2 linked regions of the Canis lupus familiaris genome follow. The protein of the gene in region 2 purifies or fractionates together with the protein of the main gene of each other region. This does not show direct contact. Links are inferred from orthologs where the notes say so. Each region holds a gene or a part of one and is shown on either strand. Other genes may lie near its edges.

Region 1 (3,822 bases), on a different chromosome or scaffold from region 2:
GGCAGTCATCCTCACGTTCAAAACCCAAAAGGGTAGTGTTTTGGGCTTTTGTTTTTAAATTTTTTCCTGTTGGGGCCACAAGCCTAAGATTGACCTCTTCACACAGGGCAGAGAACATGGATGATATGGGCATCTGTCCGAGGCTGTACTCCCTCCCTACTGGTGTCAGGAGGCTTGGATGGAATAGCAGTCTGTAAGGAGACAGCAGGTTCTTGCAGAGCCATGGCAGTGTTCACAAATGCCAAGACCCTACCTCTCTTTTGTGACTCTGGTCCTTGAACTAAGGTTGATTATATAAGGAAAACCAGGAGCATAAGTTTCTACAGGTTGAAGTGCTAGTCCTTGGCAGGTTGCCCCCCACTTTGCTCTTTATATAATTCCATCCATACCTCTGACATGGCACAGATTCTGCCTACACCCTGCTTCTGTTCTTGAGCTGCAAGAGGAGTCTGCTGTGGTGAGGTTTCACCCACTCTCAGGTGTCTGAATTATGTTGTCAGTGGTATATAGAGTCATTTCTTGTTTCCTCATGTGTCCTTCACAACAGTAACTCCCTGTTTGTTTCCCTGTCAGTGCCGATGCAGGACCCCAGAGCAGCTATGCAGCGTGGGCCCTTGCCTGCCAACGTCCCAACCCCTCGAGGTTTACTAGGAGATGCTCCAAATGACCCACGTGGAGGCACTTTACTCTCTGTAACTGGAGAGGTAGAGCCTAGGTAAGCACTAACATAGAAAGGAAAGATTGAGGGAATCTTTCTCGATTTGAGAACACAGTCTTTCTGTACCTATTTGCCTACTTCAAAAGGTAAGTAAATATTCACGGCCGCTGTCCAAGGCTAAGCACTTCTCCTTGGACAGAACTATGTAGTTGATTATGTCATTTTGAATGAACCATGGCTACTCCATCTTTAGAAATTTGAAATTCTCAGGTGCCTGGGTGGCTTAGTCAAGTGTCTGCCTTCGGCTCAGGTCATGATCCCAGGATCCTGGGATTGAGTGCCGCATCGAGCTTCCTGCTCCGTGTGGAGCCTGCTTCTCCCTCTCCCTCTGCCTGCCATTCTGCCTGCTTGTGCTCTCTCTTTCTCTGTCAAATAAATAAATAAAATCTTTAAAAAAAAGAAATTGGAAATTCTAACACATATCTAAACAGGAAAATCTTCTTGCTTATCAGTAGTAGTAATAATAATAACAATAATATAATGATGATTGATATTAATGAGGATTATGCCTCTGACTACTGTGAGTACTTAGATTATTTCATTAAATCCACATTGACAGTAATATCAGTCCTATTTTACAGATAAACTGAGGCATAGAGAAGTCAAATAAATGTGCTCAAGATTACACAGCTAATAAGTGATAAAGCTTAGATTTGAACCCATACAGTAACCCGTGTTCTTAAGCACTGTACTCCATATTCATTCTGTACAATGGATGTCCATAACCTCCTCCTTAATTATGAGTGCCCTGACCAAATATAAAATTCCAGGATATACAGGTTTATTTATCCATAGCTGTTGTTTTGTTTTGTTTTGTTTTTTACCTATTTGGTGTTAATCCTCTTAGCATTTGTAACTAATGTTAGCATCAGTTCTTTGATTTTTTTTTCTTACTGATCTCCTGGTTGACACTTTTTTTGTTGTTCTATTTTAAAATATAACTTTTTTTCTCCATCTCTAGAGGTTACTTGGGACCGCCTCATCAGGGTCCACCCATGCACCATGTCCCTGGCCATGACAACCGTGGCCCACCCCCACATGAGATGAGGGGAGGACCATTAACTGAGCCCAGACCTCTAATGGCCGAGCCAAGAGGACCCATGCTAGATCAGAGGGGTCCACCCTTGGATGGCAGAGGTAAGGGGAGACCACATCACAAGGCTGACTGCTGGTTGTGGGCTGATAATAAACCCAGCTATCTTAGGTTCTAATCTTGGATAAAAGAAGGCTAGGGCAATGGGGTTGACAAACATTTTTAAGATTTATCTGTAAAACTGAGACAGAAAGCAGTCCCTGAACAACACATTTGAACTACGCAGGTCGATTTATACATATTTTTTTTATAAATACAGTACAGTACTATAAAGGTATTTTCTCTTTTTTACAATTTTCTTAATAACATTCTCTTTCCTCTAGCTTATTTTGTTGTAAGAATGCAGAACATAATATACAAAACACGTATCAATCAACTGTTTATGTTTTTGGTAAGGCTTACCATCAGCAGTAGGTTGTTAATAGTTAACTTTTGGGGGAGTACTCCAATCCTTGCCTTGTAAAAGGGTCATCTGTAGTTGGGGGGAGATGTGACTGGAGAAATAAATTTCTATCTTTGACTATTGGTTCTTTTTGCCATAAAGATGAGTAGTTACACAGTGGTTTTCTTACAACTTTCTTTATAGGCGGTAGAGATCCCCGAGGCATAGATGCACGAGGGATGGAGGCACGAGCCATGGAGGCTAGAGGATTAGATGCCAGAGGATTGGAGGCTCGAGCAATGGAAGCCCGTGCGATGGAGGCCCGTGCAATGGAGGCCCGTGCAATGGAGGCCCGTGCAATGGAAGTCAGAGGGATAGAGGCCAGAAGTATGGATGCAAGGGGCCCAGTCCCTGGCCCTAGAGGCCCTATGCCTAGTGGAATCCAGGGTCCCAGTCCAATTAACATGGGGGCAGTTGGCCCCCAGGGATCCAGACAGGTATGTGCAATACTTCTTGCTTCTATATGAAATCTTGATCTATTCAGGAATTAACTATTGAAGCTGACTGTTACTGCTTTCCGACTTGGACTATTTCTCAGCTTGTTAAAACAGGAAGATTAGAAACTCCCTTCCTCTAGTTTCACTGTCCCTTAAGATGGTTATTTTCTGGCCACCATTGTAGCAGCTTTGTCCTACCATTTAAGGAACTCTTCCATTCAGAGCAGAGCACCCACAGATTTAGGAGGCAGCGTGTGTATCACTAGAATCTAGGCATGGATATTTGAAAAAACCTCCCCCAGGTGATTCTAATGTACAACCGTAAGAGCTGCATTAGAGCATGTGAAGAGCTGTTAGTAGTCATTTCGATAATCTTAGGTTTGCAGAAACCTATTTTAATTTGCTTTCATCACACAGCCTAAGTGGACAGTGGAATATGAAAGGCAGTTTTTACTAATGTTCACCTTAAAACCTGTGGAACTGAATTCTTATCTCTTCTTTCTTCTTATCTGGCTCTCTCTAGCTATGTGTATGTATATGGTGATCTCTGATTATCTGTGTGTTGTTATCTCCTCCCTCTTCAAACACAATTGGTTGTGGGGAGATGGTATGTGAGTGTCTTCCCTGAATTTTTACGTGCTGGCACCTTCAGCTCCCTCTTGCCCCTGCCAACCTTCCTTTTTCTGTATGTCTTCCTCCTTCCTCTACCATATGTTATGTGTCTTGGTCCTGTGTGTGTGTGTGTGTGTGTGTGTGTGTGTGTGTGTGTGTAAGGGTGGGGGGAGAGTGTCACTGGAATGGAATATGTCAGTCATCCAGTTCTCTCATTTCATAGGTTTGGAAACTGAGATCCAAGAATTCAGCTGACTTGTCCAAATTCACACAACTAAAAAGTGACAGAGCAAGGACTAGAACCCGCTATTTTTTTTCACTGTACCACTCTGTCCTGTTAGCTGCACATTATGTATGTGTATGTGTGTGTCTACCTCCCCCTCTTTAATAGGAAATATGAATATGTTGTTTCCTGGTATGTGTAAAAGAAAACTGTTTTCTATTTTTTTTCCAAGTTGTGTTTTTTAAACATGTGTTTGTGGGCCTTGATGTTTATTCTGCCCTCTATGATCAGTAGCTT
Region 2 (3,822 bases):
CTGTGTGTATACGTACTGTTTTATATATACATAGTCACATGCTTTATTTCTTGGTTGTCTGAATTTCTTAAAATCAGTTACATGTATCATTTATTATTTGAACTATTTACCCCACATCACAAAACGAAATTTGTTTCTTATAAAATCTCTCTAGATGAGTATTGGCAGAACCACCCAGAACTCCATGATATCCCCATATACTACGCATCGTCTTTGGCCAAGAAGTGCATGGCGGTGTACCAGACATATGTAAATGCCATGAATGACAAAATCCGCAAACAGATCAACATCAATAATCCCTTTGTTTTCAAGCACATTAGTAACCTCAAGGTGAGTGCCGAGGAAGGAAGCTGACGGACCCGTAAACACAGAGTCCATAGTGCTCTTAGCTGCCTGCCATTGATTTGGGGCCAGTCCTTCTTGCTGAGGTCTCACTGTTTCTCTAGCAGGCACCATTTTTCTGCCTGAAAACAAAAATCTGGTAACTGGCATACTTTTCTGCTGAAACAGATTTCACCACTTGTTCCAACTCTCCATACATTCTCAGTATTTACGCTTGCTGATTTAGTTGGGTCTCTCTGCCATAGGAACAGGAAGTCCTGATGAAAAAAAATCTTACATCACATATTAAGTTTTTCTATTCTTGCTCAGACCTAATCATCTTTCTGATTTGCCTTGCAAATTCCACGTATGAAAATTTTCATATGTTTACTTTTGTAGAACATTCAATACAGTCTGATTTCCTTTTGTTAAAAAATAGTTTTAACAGAAGTATTGTTTTATTAAAACTAATGCTTTAATCTTAATAAATAATGCCTCCAAATAATTCAAGCTATAAGTCCTCTTCCAGTTATAAATGGGCTTTGTTTATTATTATTTTCTAAATTAGTTGCTTAAGAATTAGAGCCAGATTTTCCCTAGAAACAATGTTAAACTTTTTTGGTTAGATTTTTAAGTAGCTTAAAATATTCATGAAGTATGCAAGGCTATTGTGAGCAGGAGAATTCTTTTAGAGTTCTATCTTGGACAGATAGGAAGCCATTTGACTCTTACTTTTTCCTGCCTGCCTAGCAATAAAAATGGTCCTAATAGTCCATTAATTCTGGTAGAAGGTTTAAAAGGTCAGCGTGAGCTAATTGCCTTCTATCACTTTGTTCTCCTTTCATTCCTAGCCTAAATTGTTTAGGAACTTAGATATCAGACTTAAAATGTTTATCACTAGTCTTGAGGCCCTTTCAGTAGTGTGATTAATCTTTTCACCTAGCTTTTTGTTATTCTTTAAAAACAAGGAATGCCTTGCCAAACCCTGGTACTTAGCATTCCTCTACCATTCCTTTTTCTCTCTTAGAGCATGGATCATTTTGATGACATTGGTCCCAGCGTCGTGATGGCCTCCCCGGGCATGATGCAGAGTGGCTTATCCAGAGAGCTCTTTGAAAGCTGGTGCACAGATAAGAGGAACGGCGTCATTATAGCAGGGTACTGTGTGGAAGGGACACTTGCCAAGGTCAGCCATGGTCTTAGACCACCATGTTATTCCTAATCAGAATTGCCAAGGTGGCTCAGTGAAGCCTAAGGATCACCCATCTGGTCGCAGTAAAAACTATGGAAAGGAACCCGTTTGAGACCAATACAAAAACACAGACAACCCTCATTCACAGAAGAAGTTTGCAAATATGTGTTCTCTTGAAAAGTCACATGTGTCTGGGTTGATTGCCTATCTTCTTGTTGATACAAAACGGTTGATGTTAACTCTTGAGGACATTTCCTACAAATTGCAGGAAATAGGTGCTGAGCTCCAGAAGCAGTTTCTGAGCATCTAATCATCACATCCTCTTATCTCTTCTTTCTAGAACTTGTCTTATTTTTTTAAATACGTTATGATTCCCCATTTTTTTTACTACTTTAGTGTATTCTCTAAGTCACACAGGCAACCTTGGCTGTGATTTAAAATAGATTTCCAGGGATCCCTGGGTGGCGCAGCGGTTTGGCGCCTGCCTTTGGCCCAGGGCGCGATCCTGGAGACCCGGGATCGAATCCCACGTCAGGCTCCCGGTGCATGGAGCCTGCTTCTCCCTCTGCCTGTGTCTCTGCCTCTCTCTCTCTCTCTGTGACTATCATAAATAAATAAATAAATAAATAAATAAATAAATAAATAAATAAATAATAAAAAATAAATAATAAATAAATAAATAAATAAATAAATAAATAAATAAATAATAAATAAATAAATAAATAAATAAATAAATAAATAAATAAATAAATAATAGATTTCCAGAATAGAAGCACATCTGTCTGAAAGCGACTTTCTAGAACAGGAGAATAGCTGGGAATACAAGTTTGCCTTTCTGGTCATAAGTTACAGTTGCCACTTCCTATGTTCCAAATACATTGAATTTTAGCTAACCTGCTTACCTTCCTGATAAAATATTTGCTTGACCAAGAACTTAAGTATTTGATATTTACTGAGTCCATTGTTAAAACGCTTTGTGTGCTAACAGTCCCGAATTTAACGTAAAAGTTTTTGGCTGCAGTAACAAATAGAAAATGTGCCTTTTCTCTTCTAATTGGGTAGTTTATTTGTTTTGTTTCTTTTATTTTTGTTTCTGTTTAACAGCATATCATGTCTGAGCCAGAAGAGATCACTACCATGTCTGGACAGAAGCTACCACTGAAAATGTCTGTTGATTACATTTCTTTCTCTGCTCACACAGATTACCAGCAAACCAGTGAATTTATTCGTGCTTTGAAACCGCCTCATGTGGTTAGTCTATGAATTTGATTTATGACATTAAAGGGGAAGAAAACATACCCAAGAGACTGTAGCCGATTTGGTTTTCAAATCAAACGCTGCCTGTCATTAGGGTAGCTCTTCCCCAGGGGCCACTGCCTGCACCTGGACCTGACCTTTGCAGCTCCCTGCTGAGTTAGGAAGGTGTGCGCTCTGCTTGTCTCCACTTACCTGGGGTCCCTCATCAGCTCCCCCAACCCCAACTCAGGGCTCTTTCTGTCATTTTTTGCTGCCTCCCCAATAACTTAAGACCACAGGCTTTGCTGGTGACTGTTTTGAATCCCAGTTCCATCCCTCACTTGCTGGGTAACCCTGGGCAAGTTACTTAACTTCTCCCTGCCCTATTTGTAAAAAGGGATAATAATGCCTCATAAGGCAGCTGTGAGAAAGGGATGAGAGAACATATATCTAAAGCATGTAATATGGTGCCTGGCATAGAGTAAATGCTCAATAATAGGGAAAGAAGAGAAAGACAAATCACATAATAGTAAAAATCAAAGATCCAAATAGATCTGAAATCACATAGCTCCTTACTGATGTGTTTTGTTTATATTTTTTAAGTTTTATGTAATAACAAAAATAAGTTACATTTTGGTGAGGTTGGAGAGGGGATAAGAGAAGAAAGCTAGAAAAAAAAATAGGTATTTTTAATCAACAGAACACTCAGGGAACAAGGGTGTAGGGGGGGGAAGCAGATGGAGTGCCCTTTCTGAATGTATTAAAAAGGATGTTTAGAGGAAATAGCCTTTTGCTGGTTTTTTCATTGTGGGAAAATATATATAATATATAAGTTGCCATATATAAGTTCTATGGAAGAAGCATAGAATTCTGTGGCATGAATCACATCCACAGTGTTGTGCACCATCACACCACCTATTCCCAGATTTTTTTTATCGCACCAAGCAGAAACTGTACCTATTAAGCAAAATATCCAATAGCATGTTACCTTCTACATTCAGGGTTCCTCTATACCATAGCATGTATCAGAACTCCCTTCCCCTTTGCGGGTAAACACCGTATAGACCATATTC

Evidence for each region.
Region 1: the proteins of CPSF3 (region 2) and CSTF2 purify together in Homo sapiens (affinity purification with mass spectrometry; 3 studies listed by BioGRID and IntAct, with this or other methods). This does not show direct contact. The link is inferred for Canis lupus familiaris from reciprocal best matches to the Homo sapiens genes CPSF3 and CSTF2.

The regions. Positions count from the first base shown.
Region 1 is NC_049260.1:75,175,519-75,179,340, forward strand, and holds part of CSTF2 (cleavage stimulation factor subunit 2), read left to right. Parts: intron 1-106; coding exon 107-193; intron 194-573; coding exon 574-715; intron 716-1,679; coding exon 1,680-1,855; intron 1,856-2,397; coding exon 2,398-2,690; intron 2,691-3,822. UniProt on the Homo sapiens protein: One of the multiple factors required for polyadenylation and 3'-end cleavage of mammalian pre-mRNAs. This subunit is directly involved in the binding to pre-mRNAs.
Region 2 is NC_049238.1:6,561,431-6,565,252, forward strand, and holds part of CPSF3 (cleavage and polyadenylation specificity factor subunit 3), read left to right. Parts: intron 1-154; coding exon 155-330; intron 331-1,348; coding exon 1,349-1,507; intron 1,508-2,617; coding exon 2,618-2,764; intron 2,765-3,822. UniProt on the Homo sapiens protein: Component of the cleavage and polyadenylation specificity factor (CPSF) complex that plays a key role in pre-mRNA 3'-end formation, recognizing the AAUAAA signal sequence and interacting with poly(A) polymerase and other factors to bring about cleavage and poly(A) addition.